Notamacropus eugenii: one gene and its partner. The protein of the gene in region 1 purifies or fractionates together with the protein of each later gene. This does not show direct contact. Links are inferred from orthologs where the notes say so. Each region holds a gene or a part of one and is shown in the gene's direction. Other genes may lie near its edges.

Region 1 (5,918 bases):
ACTTGGCTACCTTTCCTCAACACAGTTGCTTATGCCTGAAATGCCCTTTCCTGCTCCCAGGTGCTCCCAGTGCTTTAAAGCTCAACCTCTTACTGCTAGGAATCCTCCCCTTCAGTTATGACATATTCCTTCCTTCCCTTCCCTTACACCTGTGCCTTTTAAGCATTTATGTGGACCTTGACTTATTTAACCTCCTATATTTTGTTTTCTCTGTTCATGTGTGTCATATTCCTTAACTAAATCTTAACTCCATAAGGACAGGAATTGTCTTATCTAAGCTTTGTTTACATTTCATCGAACACCTCGTGTAGTGTTCAGCACACAGTAGACACTTGTTTGTTGAATTGAATAACTCAAATGTACAGATTTTCAGGTCTGTAAAGTACTTTCTTCACAGTCCTGTGAGGTAGGATTATTATAATCCTCATTCTACAGATGAGGAAATTGAAATTCAGAGAGGACATGTTACCATGGGTTTCCACAACCAATAAGTTTGTGACCCTAGAATGTGAACCTATGATTCTTAACTCTTTCTATAATACTCTGCTGCCTCTTGAGTGTCACACTCCATTTCCTCTGTAGGCTCAACACCAAAACTGGGAAGCTGGAGATGAGCTATTCCAAGTTCAAGGCCAAGAACCTTTCTCTCTTGGGCACCCTGATACTGAAGGTAAGGTTGACATGCACACCCAGGTACTACTATAGACCCAGAGCATGGGAACTCCAGACCCAGAGCAGACCTGAGGGAAGGTTTGTGCTTTTCCTCTTACTGATGTGAAACATGGCTATGGTTAACACCCACCTTCTGCTTCTCCAGGGTGCAGAAGCCCTCCGATTGGTGGCTGTCCGTCGAGGTGAAAATGAGGCTGGTGCCTACATTGAGTGCAACAACATGACCCTCATTAACCTGCTCATCAAGATCTTGGGGCCCATTCATGAAAAAAATCTCACTTTGTTGCTTCTGCTCCTGCAGGTGATCCTTTGGGCTAAGATGGGCATGGCGGGTCCTTATCCCTCTTCCTTATTCTTCTGTTTTCCATATATCCTCTCCCCAGGCTGGTTACCCTCCTAAGGTCTCCCTCCCTGCCTCCTTTTCTCATGACTCTCCATCTATTTCTCCTTGCAGATTCTGGCTAGTGCTATCACATTCTCTATTCGATACCAGCTGGTTCGGCTCTTCTATGATATTTGAGTCTTTGACGGTGACTCTTTACTTCACAACCCTCTGCCCCTGTCTCATGTGGACCCCTGTTGGACTAAGACTGTATTCCTCATAAGCCTATTGGGCTTCTCCCCATCCTTATTGTCTTCAAAATTATCTCCTTGGGGAGGTATCCTACCCCTCAATGATTATTTATTGATTGTATTTGCCCTATGGACTTCCCTAAATTGACATTTTTCTCCCTTTCCTTCCTTTCCTGATGCTTCCCCTGGGGCAGGAGGCAGCAGCTTCTTGGAAGCTAGGTTGCCACTAGGGATCAGGCTAAGTCCCTGGTGGTTCCTAATGGTTCCACCCTGAATTGATATGTTACTGGGAATTAAGCATTTTGATTAATAAGGAGCAACCTGAGTGGTCATTAGCTCCTTTTGGTGATGATAAATATGTTTGGTTCACTTTTTTAACTGTGGGTGTGCTCTTGTTTTCAGATGATTTTGGGGGGGCAGGGGAGGGAACACTTCCCTGCCTGCTTCCACCATTAGGTAAATATCAAATCCTGGCCCCTCTTTCTGTCTTCTTTGCTCCAGATACTGAGCTCCTTCCCTTCCTTGCAGGTGGGGGAAACATACATAGTTAAGTCATGCAACCTATGTGGAAAATTACATTGGAGAAAAACAACCAGGTGGAATAGCTATCTGAAAATGTGTCACATAGAAGGAAGTATTAGACTTCTTTTGCTTAAGTCTTGAGTATAGACCCAAGGCCAATGAGTGGAAGTCACATAGGAACAGATTTTGCCTTAGTAAGAGAAAATTTTCAAAAACCAACTCCTTATCAGAGCTATCAACAAATGGACTGAACCCCTTCAACAGGCAGTGAACTTGCCAGTCAATGGAAGCTGTTCAAAAGGAGGTCACTAACCACTTGTCGAGGACTGCCACTGATAAGAGTGAATGAATGAAGCACTTATTAAGTGTTTACTATGTGCAAAGCACTGTGCTAAGTGCTGGGCAGGCACATAGAAAAGTCAGGCCGGCCCTCCCCAGGAGCTCATATTCTAATGGAGAAACACCACATGCAAGGTTCAGCTGCAAGTCTCACGGTTCTTAGGGTGCAGCTGCAAGGGAGCTGGAAATACCTTTTCTTTAATGTTACTTCCACCAATAAAATCATATTGACTTCTGATGGTGAACCACTTGGCAGTGCCAGGGGCTTTGGTGGCAAGACCCTTCTTTTCTGAGTCTTCAGTAACTGTGGCTGCAGCACTTTCAGAACAATTTTGAGGGCTGGGCTAGAAGCAGGAGTGATGCTGTAAAGGTTGCTGAAGCTCTTAGGGCTCTTATGTCTATCTGCCTGTTGGTGGCAATTATTTCTAGTGTTGATGACAAAGGTTGAGAGGGATGATCGCCCTTTTAACTGTCCAGTCTTAAGGAGTGGAAGTGAAGGATGAGAGGGAAAGACTGATCTCTGAGGAAGACATAAGACCAAAGGGTGGAAATCTGAAAGGTAAATTTAGATTTTATGTAAGGAAAAATTGCCAAACAGAACTATGGAAAGGTAGAATAAACTGCTTTGGTCACTAGTAGGTTTCCCCCTTCTTGGGTGTCAAAGTCTTGAAGCTGAGGTTATATTGTAGATTGGATCCTATTCAGGTATGGGATGGAACCAGGGATGAGGAACCTTTGGTATCGAGGCTGGAACTTTGAAGTTTGGATTCAACGGCTGTACTAGAGGGCCACAAGTGTCCTTGAGGTCAAAGGTTCCCCATCCTTGGTTAGATGGATGGATGGATGGATGGAGGGAGGGAAAAAAAGTAAGTGCTGACTCTCAGTTGTTTCAGACTCTATGACCCCATGTGGGGTTTTCTTGGCAAAGATACCGAAGTGGTTTGCTATTTCCTTTTCCAGCTCATTTTACAGGTAAAGAACCGGGGCAAACAGCTGCCCCTAACGACAACAAACGTGCTAAGTGCGGGAGATATAACTAGAAAAGTTTGAGTCCCTGCCCTCCCAGCTCCCAAGTCCCCTCCCTCTTGTAGATGTGAGAGAAGACCCCGATCCTTCAGCTGGGGCTGGGGCCCAGTCAGGGGCTGGAGTTTTCCCTTCTCTTAGGGACTGGGCTGCAGGGACCTCTTCTTACCCACTGAACTTGTTCAAACAGGGTTTGGATTTGGAATAAAGGGCCTGGGCTAAAGGAAAACCAATTCAAAACTTCATTTTAACCTTGACCCTGGGTTTTTGCATTTCCCAAGACAATCATCGCTAGTAACAGCATCAAGCGCGGGGGACAAAGAAGGTCCGCCCAGCCTCCCACCAGAGCTCACTCAGCACGCGGTGAGCACCTGCGGCGTACCGGCACCGGCCCGAGGGGCGCGGAGGGCGGCGCCAGGCCGTGCAGTCAGACACGCCTCCCTGGTTCGGATCTAGTCTCAGCCGCCGGCAGGCTCGGGGCTCCTCGGCAGAACGGGCTGGAGAGGGAACGGCAAGCCGCAGCCGCTGCCTGGAGGGGCGGGGAAGGAAGGCGAACACGCGGGAGGAAATCTTCGGGACTAGTCCTTAGGCAAGGGGCGGGCCCTCATGGGAAAGGGCCTTCCTCACCCTTCCCGTAGCGGGCGCCTCCGGGGGGCGGGGCCCGGGCTCCGCCGGCGCTGGACGGTCCCGAGGGACCGCCCTCTGTCCGGCTCTTTCGGTCCTGTCTGACTCTGTGGCTTTGTTTTCTTGGCAAAGATATTGGGGTGATTCGCCGTTTCCTTCTCTAACTCATTTGACAGATGAGGAAACTGAGGCAGACAGGATGAAGTGACTTGCCCGAGGTCACAGCTACTAAGTGTCTGAGGTCGGATTTGAAGTAGGGAACCCGAGTACTCTTCCGCGGGCGCTCATTTGCCTTTCTTGGCGCCTAGGCCATTTGAATCTCCCGCGCTTCCGATGGATTGGCCGCTTGGGGGAGCGGGAAGCCGGGGGTGGGGAGGAGCGAAGCCGACCGCGCCCCTCCCTCTAGTTTGCTAGTCGGAGTGATCTTCCCCGGGTTAGAAGAATTTTTAAATCCAGCCAATCGGTAAGCACGCTCATACGCTCAGGAGGAGGAGCCTGATAGCTAAGGGCAGCCAATCGGAGGCGGCCTCCATGATGCAGCCAATAGGGAACTAAAGGACGCTGTGACCGGCCGCCTTAAAGGCGGCAGCTTTGCACGCGGACCGGCATTTAGACTGCGGCGAGAGTTTGGTGAGTGTGTGTGCGCACGCGCAGCCGTTACTCGCGGTAGTTCTCTCGGAACCAGTCTCGCGCTTTATACGTTAGCATGTCGGGTCGCGGCAAGACCGGCGGGAAGGCCCGTGCCAAGGCCAAGTCTCGCTCTTCGCGGGCCGGGCTGCAGTTCCCTGTGGGCCGTGTGCACCGATTGCTGAGGAAGGGCCACTACGCGGAGCGAGTCGGAGCCGGCGCGCCGGTGTACCTGGCGGCCGTGCTGGAGTACTTGACGGCCGAGATCCTGGAGCTGGCGGGGAACGCGGCCCGGGACAACAAGAAGACCCGCATCATCCCCCGCCACCTGCAGCTGGCCATCCGTAACGACGAGGAGCTCAACAAACTCCTGGGCGGCGTGACCATCGCCCAGGGCGGCGTCCTGCCCAACATCCAGGCGGTGCTGCTGCCCAAGAAGAGCGGCGCCATCACGGGACCCAAGGCCCCGGGCAGCGGCGGCAGCAAGAAGAGCACGCAGGCCTCGCAGGAGTACTGAGCGCCTCGCCGGCCTCGGCCCGTGGCCGCTCGGCCCGCACCGGCCCCCCTCCCCCACAAAGGCCCTTTTCAGGGCCGCCTCCCCCCTCCCTGAGAGAGCTGCTGCACCCGCCTCCCTCCCCGAGCCCCGCCCCCGCCGGCCCGGCCCGGCTAGAGCTGCAGCCCGGAGCCCGGAGCTGCGGCCCGGCCCGCCGGGGCCCGGGTTATTCTGACTCCTTCTCTCTTGGCAGCTACCGAACAAAGCCCGGGGCCATCGCGCCCCAAGGTCGCGCGGGGCCCCCAGACCAGCGAGGGCCAGACCTCGTCCGAACCCGGCCGGCCCCGACCCTGGACAATGAACTGAATTTTCTCAGCTTAGACTCGTTGCCTTTATCCGGGGAATTGAGAGACTGTGAACGACAATTCGGAAGTCTGATTAACTTAATTTTATTAAATTTTTTTTCTAATGAAGTTTCTTGTCTTTCTTCAGCTCCCCCTAGGTGCCAAAGGTTAGCTAAAGATCGTGGTGATTCGGTGGCCACTTTTCCTTGGGGGAATTTGGGTCTGGAGAGTAAAAAGATTTTAGTACGTAAATCAGTCAACGTGCGTATTTATGTGCCAGGAACTGGAGATAGATATACTGGAAGGTGAATGGGATGACTGTCCACACCCCAGTCATCATCTACAGGCTAAATAAAAATTCCACTAGAGTAAGGTCAGGTGTTTTATTGACAAATTTGGTTACATTCAAAGTCTGTAGACTCTCCACAGAAAACAATTCTCCAGCCCCTTGTAAAAGAGGGCCAGAACAAGGCACTAGGAAGCTTAGCAGCAACAGGTCCCCTTTCCCACACCTGAGGCCCAGATGATGCAGTTTTTTGTGCCCAGGGATAGTTCCTGTTGAGTTAATTAATCCGGGAAGGATTCAGGGCACCCCAGAACAAATCTGGTCAATGTTCCTGGGCAGAAAATGCCCTTGGGACTAGGTTAGTGGGCATCATTAAGCTGTCTTGCTATATCCAGGATCTTCTTGGCTCCCTTGT
Region 2 (7,536 bases), on another chromosome or scaffold:
CCTTTGTTCAGTTATGTCCAATTCTTCACGACCTCATTTGAAGTTTTCTTGGTGAAGATACTGGAGTGGTTTGCCATTTCTTTTTCCAGTTCATTTTACAGATGAGAAAACTGAGGCAAATAGGGTTAAATGACTTGCTCTGGGTCACGCAGCTAAGTGTCTGAGACCAGATTTGCATTCAAGGCGAGTCTTCCTGACTCCAGGCCCCACACTCTATCCACTGTGCCACCTTGATGCCTGAAAAGGCCTTTAGCATGTGGAATATCAGCACATAAGACTCAGGGAACATCCAATACCAAATGTCAGTGTTGGGAGTGATCTCAGAATATAGAATATATAATGTCAAAGCTTAGATGAATATAGAATATCAGAGCTAGGAAAGACCTGAGAACATAGGACATCAGATATGAGGAGACCTTTGATGGTCAAAGCTAGTAAGGGCCTTAGAACATAGAATATCAGAGATGTGAGTGACCTTAGAACACAGAATGTTAAAGTTTACCAATGATCTCTTAGCAGCCTTTTCTCATTCCTTATTCTCCTTGGCTTCTCTGCAACCTTTGATAATAGTGGTCACTCTCTCCTCCTTGACACTGTTTCCTTTGTTGGTTTTCAGGACACCTTTCTCTCCTGGTTCTTCTCTGACCATTCTTTCTGTCTCTTTTGCTGGATCCTTCTCCAGATCATGCTCTCTTCCCTAGGCCCCTCCTCTCTTGGACCCTCTTCTCTTCTCTCTCTCCATTTCACTTTGTGATTTTATCAGTTTCCATGGATTTAATTACCACTTTTATGCCGATGATTCTTAAATTTACCTATCCTGCCTTAACTCTGCTGATTTCCAATTTCATATCTCTGCCTTTCAAGGCATCTTGATGTCCAGTAGACATCCTAAACTCAGTATTGTCCAAACCATCCCCACTTCCTACTTTCCTGTTACTGTAGAGGGCAACACAATCCTCCCAGTCCCCCAGGCTCCCAATTTAGGAGTTATTCTGGACTACTCCCTCCCTCCCTTTCCCCCATCCAATATGTTGATTTCTCCCCCTCCAGCCTCCTTGTTCATTTCACCTCTGGTTGATTTCTCCTCTCTAGCCCTTCTTGTTGATTTCTCCTCTGTAACACCTCTGATTGATTTCACTTCTGCAGCATCTTCCCATTATACCCCCTTCTCTCCTCATCACCACAAGCCTGGATTAGTTGCTGGTGAGTCTGCCTGCCTCAAGTATCTCCCCACTCCAGTCCAGCCACCATAGAGCTGCTAAAATGATTTTCCTAAAGAGCAGGTCCTACTTACTGTTTTTGGTGTTTGAAGCTCCTATCTACTTTTCCAATCTTCTTACACCTTATTCCCTGACTTGTACTCTTTGATTCAGTAACACTGGCCTCTTTGCTGGTCCATGAACAAGACCCTCCAATTCTTGGATTCAGGTACTTCCTCTGGCTGCCTCCTGTGCCTGGAACATTGTCTCTCCTCATCTCCGACTGCTGGCCTCCTGACTTCTTGTATGTCCCAACTAAAAGCCCATCTTCTCCAGGAAGCCTTTCTCTTTCCCTCTTAGTCCTAGTGCTTTCCCTCTGTTAATTATTTCCTATTTTTCCTGTTTATATGGCATGTTTGTACATAGTTTGTTGCATGTTGGGGAAACCCCTAAAGGGATTGTGAGGTCCTTGAGGGCAGAGACTATCTTGCCTTTCTTTGTATCCCTAGTGCTTAGCATAGTGCTTAATTCATGTGTATTGGCTGTCTGAGAGTTTACAACATAGACTATCAGAGCTAGGAAAGACCTTAGAACCTCAAATGTCAAAGGTCAAGCTTTGACTTTAGCACAGAACATAGCATTTGTTCATCAGGTAGGATGTCTCTGAGAAAGCTTATCTAAGGTGGGAGCATCTTTAGAACATACTAAGAGATGGTAAGAGGCAACACAGTATGTGACAGCAGAACATGGGATATCTGAAACTGAAGGGAACTAATCTGAAGCGTGGATGGGTATTACAACATAGACATGGATTGTTAGTGTATGATGGGAGGGACCTGAGAACAAAACCTATCAGAAGGGACCCTTGAATAAAGACTGCTGGAAATGAGGAGGGCATTTGAAGAAAGAATGTCAGAGCTTTGAAAGGCCTTAGAGAACTGCATGTCAGGGCTGGCTTGGACCTTAGAACATAGGACTTGCTGAAGTGGATGGGACATTACAGCATCAAGCAGAGAATATCAGACTAGCAGGGACCAGAAACTGGAGAACCTAAATGCTATTAGCTAGATAACACTGAATATCAGAGCTGAATGTATCCTTAGGGCAGTTTGGTATAGTGAAAGAAGCATGAGTTGGGAAATCAGAGGAACTGGGTTCAAATCCCACCTCAGCCACTGAGACTTAACCTCCCTAGACCTCAATTTCCTCATTAATAAAATGGTAGAGGTGTTAGACTAGTTGATTTCTGAGGTCCCTTTATCTCCAGATATGTGATCCCAGAAAGACAAGAATGTCTTACCTGGGAGAAGTCTTAAAAAGTAGAACAGAGAATGTCGAAGCTTGTACGAGCCTTGGAACATGGACTGTCAGAGCTTACTTAGGTCACACAGTGTAGAAGAGCAGCGTTGGGACGGAACTTAGATTGTAGATTATCAGAAAGGGGAAAGAAATTAGAACACAGATTGTCAGAACTGGGAGGGTGCCTTAGAACATAGAGGAAAAAAATGTCTAATCATGGTTTTTAAAAGACAAGGCTATGGAATGTTATCCTGCAAGTCCGCTGAGTGTTTATTAGTCTATTACTGTATGCCAGACACTGTGTTAAGCTTGGGGGATACAAAGAAAGGCAAAAGACAGCCCCTACTCTCGAGGTGTTACAGTCTGATTAGAGACAACATACAAACATCATACTGTGTACATAAATAGAAGGTATTTCACAGATGTTAAGCACTAGAATTAAAGGGGATCAGGAAAAGCTTCTTGCAGAAGGTGGGGTTGGAGTTGAAACTTGACAGTTTCTGGGAATACCAGGAAGATAGGGATGAAGAGCGGGGAGCGTTGTTACTTTCTCTGGCCTTGGAAAAGTCTTGCTAGACAGTACAAAACAGAACAGAGAATGTTAATCCTCAGAGAGACTTGAAAACCTAGCACAGGGTTTCAGAACTGGAGGAGACCTTAGGACACAGAACATAAGAGATGAAAAGGACCTTGGAATCAATAAACCAACTGCTTGCCAGGCACTGTTTGGGCACTGGAGATACAAAGACAAAAAATAGAAGTTCTTTGTCCTCAAAGATCTGACATTTTATAGGAGTCTAACATGTACACATGTAAATATAGACCTATCTATATAATGATGCCTGATAGAGAATTTAAGAGCATAGAATGTAGACTGTCAGGATTGGCTGGGCAGGTCAGAACTGAGAGGGACCTTAGAATACAAAACATGAGAACTTGGAAGGGCCTCAGAGGGTAAATTGTGAGAAGTTGGAGTCACCTTAGACGTCCTTCAAGAAACTGAGACGGAAGGAAGGGATGTGAACGGACCAAGGTCACACATAACCTCCCAGCCTTTGCAGCATTCCGTTTTCACATCCCTTCATAAAACCACCAGCTGCTGCTGCTCCAAAGGAGCTCATGATCCATTTCCTTCTTCGGTTTAGAAACGTCAAATTGACAACTGCGTTAAAAATTCAAAAGCACATTAATTTTGTTGAAATACTTGTGTTTACGGTGGGAGAGATCCAGGATGAGAACTCACCGCCATAGACAAAGGAGGCCCGTTCATTCCTTGTGATGGTGGCAAAGGTATTCCTCCGTGGTCTCTCCGGTCAGTATTTGCTCCAATTCATTTTGGTAAATCAAAAACAAAGCAATCACTTATTTTAATTAATTGATTTATTGACGGAAGCAAAAAGACCTAGCAAACACGAACTCTGCCTGCGGGGGATCCTCACAACTCACTTGGGACAGGCCCCTCGGCCCAGGCTCGGTTGTCCAAAGAAGGTTTGGGGGAGAAACAGTGGTTGGCAGCGCCCTGGGTTTGACATGCCTCTGCGCTGCATCGTGACTGGGCACTCTGGCAGCGAAATGCCATTCGATCTTCACAACAACCCTGGGGGCCGGGGGTGGGGGCAGGTGCCGTTAGGGCTCCGTTAAGCCGAGACGCAGTGATGTGCCCAGGGTGACAGGACTAACAAGGGTCTGGGCACGACTGGAACTCAGGCCTTCCTGACTCCAGGCGCCCAGCCCGGCCAACCCCGACCCTTTACAGAGGGGGAAACTGAAGCCCAGACTGGAGAGTGACTTGTCCAAGGTCGCTAAGGCAGCTCGGGTGAGCAGCCGCATTCGAACCCAGTGCAGGCCGGATGGAGCACCGCCGCCGCAGTCTGCTGCCCCGCAGGCCGGCCCCGCCCGCACTTCCAGGACCCGGCCGGAACAACAAGCGCGTCACGCGCCCACGTGACTGCGACGCGCTCGAACTACGTGGCGTGAAGGACCCAGCTCTCCTCCAATCAGGCAGCGAGGCGCGAGGCCCCGCCCCGGCCCGGAGCCGGCCCGGGGCCTCGAGGTGGTTCCTGCGCCGCTTGCCCAACCCGGAGCCGAGCGCCCCTGAGGGCCGGCCGCCCTCCCCGCTTGGGCCGCGTTCTTGGCCGCGGGCTCCTCCCGCCCCCGGTCCCCTCCTCCCGGAGCCTCCCGCAGCCCCACACCCTCAGAGCTGCTAGCAGGGAGGCGCCGGTACGCCGGATGTGACGTCACCCCGCGGAGCCGGAAGCGGCTCCTGAGGGAGGGAGGGAAGATGGCGGAGGTGGTGAGTCCGGGGCCCGGCGCGGGGCGGGGCGAGGCGGGGCGGAGGCATCCGCAGGACGGCGGCGACTCCCCCGGCCTCCCCCATTGACCGCGGTGTCTTCCCCAGGGCGAGGTCATCGAAGGCTGCCGCCTGCCCGTGCTGCGGCGTAATCAGGATAACGAGGATGAGTGGCGTGAGTGACGGGGGGCGGAGCCAACGGGCGCCGTGGAGGCGGGGCCTGGGCGCTGGAGCCCTGCAGGGAGGGCGGGGCTTGGGGAGCGAATAGGCGTGGTTCCCCTGAGGGGCGGGGCTGAAACATACCTCGGAGGGAAGGATAAAGAGAGGGCCAGGGCTCGGGGAGGGAGGGACGTGGTCTGAGAGACTCCGGGGAGGGGGCCTGGCCAGAGGCCAAGAGACCTCCTGGGAAGGGATTAGAGAGGGGGCCTGGGGTAAATGGCAAAGGGGCGTGGCTAATTTAAGGATGGAGCCTGAGACCTCCCAGAGTGGGGCTTGGTGGGGTGTGGCTAGAACCTGAAGACTCCACCCACTCATCCACCCACCCCCGGTCTTGGGAGAGGTGAGACTTGGTCTCCAGTTTAGGATGCCTCGGGTGGAGGGCAGGGCGGGGCTAAGGACCCCTAGGAGCCAAGAGGCGGGGCCAGAGTCCTTGGCACCCCCCCTCTCCAAGGGCATTCCAAGGGCAATCTAAGGGCGGGGCCAGGGACTGGTGGGGAAGGGGCAGGACCCAAGCTAAGGAGAGGGGGTGATCTGGGCATCCTGGGGAGGGACTTGGAGGGGGAGAGAAGATACTTTTCTCCAGAGGGTAGAACCAAAGCAGGGGGTGGACATGGAGGAAGCTGGCTCCCAGGGACAAAGTGGGGTCTGTGCCCAGCACCCCTCCAAGACTCCTGCCTCTCCCTCGCAGCTTTGGCCGAGATCCTGAGTGTGAAGGACATTAGTGGCCGGAAGTTGTTCTACGTTCACTACATAGACTGTGAGTGCCACGCCCAGTGGTCCTTGGGTACAGGGCGGGTATCACAGGCATCGGGGGTTGGGAGGATGAGAAGAGCCCTGGGGGACACCTTACATCAGAACTTCTCCACTTCTGTGCAGTCAACAAGCGCCTGGATGAGTGGGTGACCCATGACAGGCTGGACCTAAAGAAGATCCAGTTTCCTAAAAAAGAGGCGAAGACCCCCACAAAAAATGGGCTCCCTGGGTCCAGACCGGGCTCCCCTGAGAGGGAGGTGGTGAGTAGAAGCAGTATCCAAATCAACCTGGAGACAGTTCCCAGGAGGATGGTCAGGCCCCGCCCCCATCTCGCTTGTCCCTGTCGTGCTTAACCCATGGTTTTGGGGCTCCTGTGCCGCAGGCTGAGGATGAGAAGGGGAACAAGGCAGCCCTGCTATAGTGGCCGCAGCCTGGAGAGGCTCTGTAGAGATTCAGGTCGGGTCAGAGGGAGGAGGTGGTGTTACTGAATCTTAGGTTTCAAAATTCAGTCACCAAACCCCACATAGCTGGGGTGGGAAGCCAGCCCAAGGGGAAGGGGTGGGGGGGTGAACCCACCTGGCTGATGGGGGCCCCCTCCTCCCCTCCCCCTCGCTCCCTTCCCCCTCCCCCAGAGGAAGACCCTGGACCTATCTCTACAGCCGGCTTCGGCCCAGGCCAGTGGGAAGACACTGCCGATCCCGGTGCAGATCACGCTCCGCTTCAACCTACCCAAGGAGCGCGAGGCCATCCCCGGCGGCGAGCCTGACCAGCCCCTCTCCTCCAGCTCCTGCCTGCAACCCAACCACCGTTCCACGGTACCCTCGGATTCCACTCTTCACCTGGAGCTCCGGAGCCCAGCTCCCTCGTCCCCACAGTTCCTTGTGAGCTCGCTTCCTTCCAAGACCCAGGTCCCCTGCCCCTTTGACCCACCTTTCTCGGTCTCTCTCTGCAGAAACGGAAAGTCGAAGTGGTTTCACCAGCAACTCCCGTGCCCAGCGAGACAGCACCAGCCTCTGTCTTCCCTCAGGTGTGTGCTTGAGACCCCCTTGGTGCCCCTGAGCCCATGCCCTTGAGACCCTCAGCTCATTCCTTCCTTCCCCCTCCTGTGTCTCCACAGAATGGTTCAGCCCGGAGGGCACTGGCTGCCCAGCCAGGACGGAAGAGGAAGTCCAACTGTCTAGGCACAGATGAGGTGAGTCTGGTAAGGGTGGAGTAAAGGGAGCCAAGTCAGGGGAGGGTGGCATGCTCATGCCTTTCCCTGCCCTGTGGCCACCGACAGGACTCACAGGATAGCTCGGACGGAATCCCGTCGGCCCCTCGCATGACAGGCAGCTTGGTGTCTGACCGCAGCCACGACGACATTGTTACCCGCATGAAGAACATCGAGTGCATCGAGCTGGGCCGCCACCGCCTCAAGCCCTGGTACTTCTCCCCATATCCCCAAGAACTAACTGCCCTACCTGTGCTCTATCTCTGCGAATTCTGTCTGAAGTATGGGAAAAGCCTCAAGTGTCTGCAGCGTCACCTGGTACGTCATTGGGGCCTCCCTCCCCTAGCCTCCTGTCACTGTCTGAGCACCTACTATATATGCTACACACTGTACTAAGCTTTGGGGAAGCAAAGAAAGACACAATCTCAGTCCTTGTCCCCAGGAGCTCACAATCAAATGGGGAGATATGTGCTTGAGTCCTCATGTCTGATGAAGAGAGAGTAGGTGGGAGAGAGCCTTAGAAGGGAGAGGCCAAGCAGTGGGTCGAGTTGGGCTCCTGCATCCGA

Evidence for each region.
Region 2: the proteins of H2AX (region 1) and KAT5 purify together in Homo sapiens (affinity purification with western blotting; 3 studies listed by BioGRID and IntAct, with this or other methods). This does not show direct contact. The link is inferred for Notamacropus eugenii from reciprocal best matches to the Homo sapiens genes H2AX and KAT5.

The regions. Positions count from the first base shown.
Region 1 is NC_092876.1:279,717,011-279,722,928, forward strand, and holds H2AX (histone H2AX), read left to right. Parts: upstream 1-4,351; 5' UTR 4,352-4,459; coding exon 4,460-4,897; 3' UTR 4,898-5,346; downstream 5,347-5,918. Other genes in the region: DPAGT1 (UDP-N-acetylglucosamine--dolichyl-phosphate N-acetylglucosaminephosphotransferase), read left to right, coding at 583-670, 818-973, 1,127-1,192; HMBS (porphobilinogen deaminase), read right to left, coding at 5,863-5,918. UniProt on the Homo sapiens protein: Variant histone H2A which replaces conventional H2A in a subset of nucleosomes. Nucleosomes wrap and compact DNA into chromatin, limiting DNA accessibility to the cellular machineries which require DNA as a template.
Region 2 is NC_092873.1:18,452,587-18,460,122, forward strand, and holds the start of KAT5 (histone acetyltransferase KAT5), read left to right. Parts: upstream 1-4,509; 5' UTR 4,510-4,779; coding exon 4,780-4,791; intron 4,792-4,896; coding exon 4,897-4,963; intron 4,964-5,695; coding exon 5,696-5,764; intron 5,765-5,883; coding exon 5,884-6,020; intron 6,021-6,392; coding exon 6,393-6,575; intron 6,576-6,712; coding exon 6,713-6,787; intron 6,788-6,877; coding exon 6,878-6,952; intron 6,953-7,039; coding exon 7,040-7,288; intron 7,289-7,536. UniProt on the Homo sapiens protein: Catalytic subunit of the NuA4 histone acetyltransferase complex, a multiprotein complex involved in transcriptional activation of select genes principally by acetylation of nucleosomal histones H2A and H4.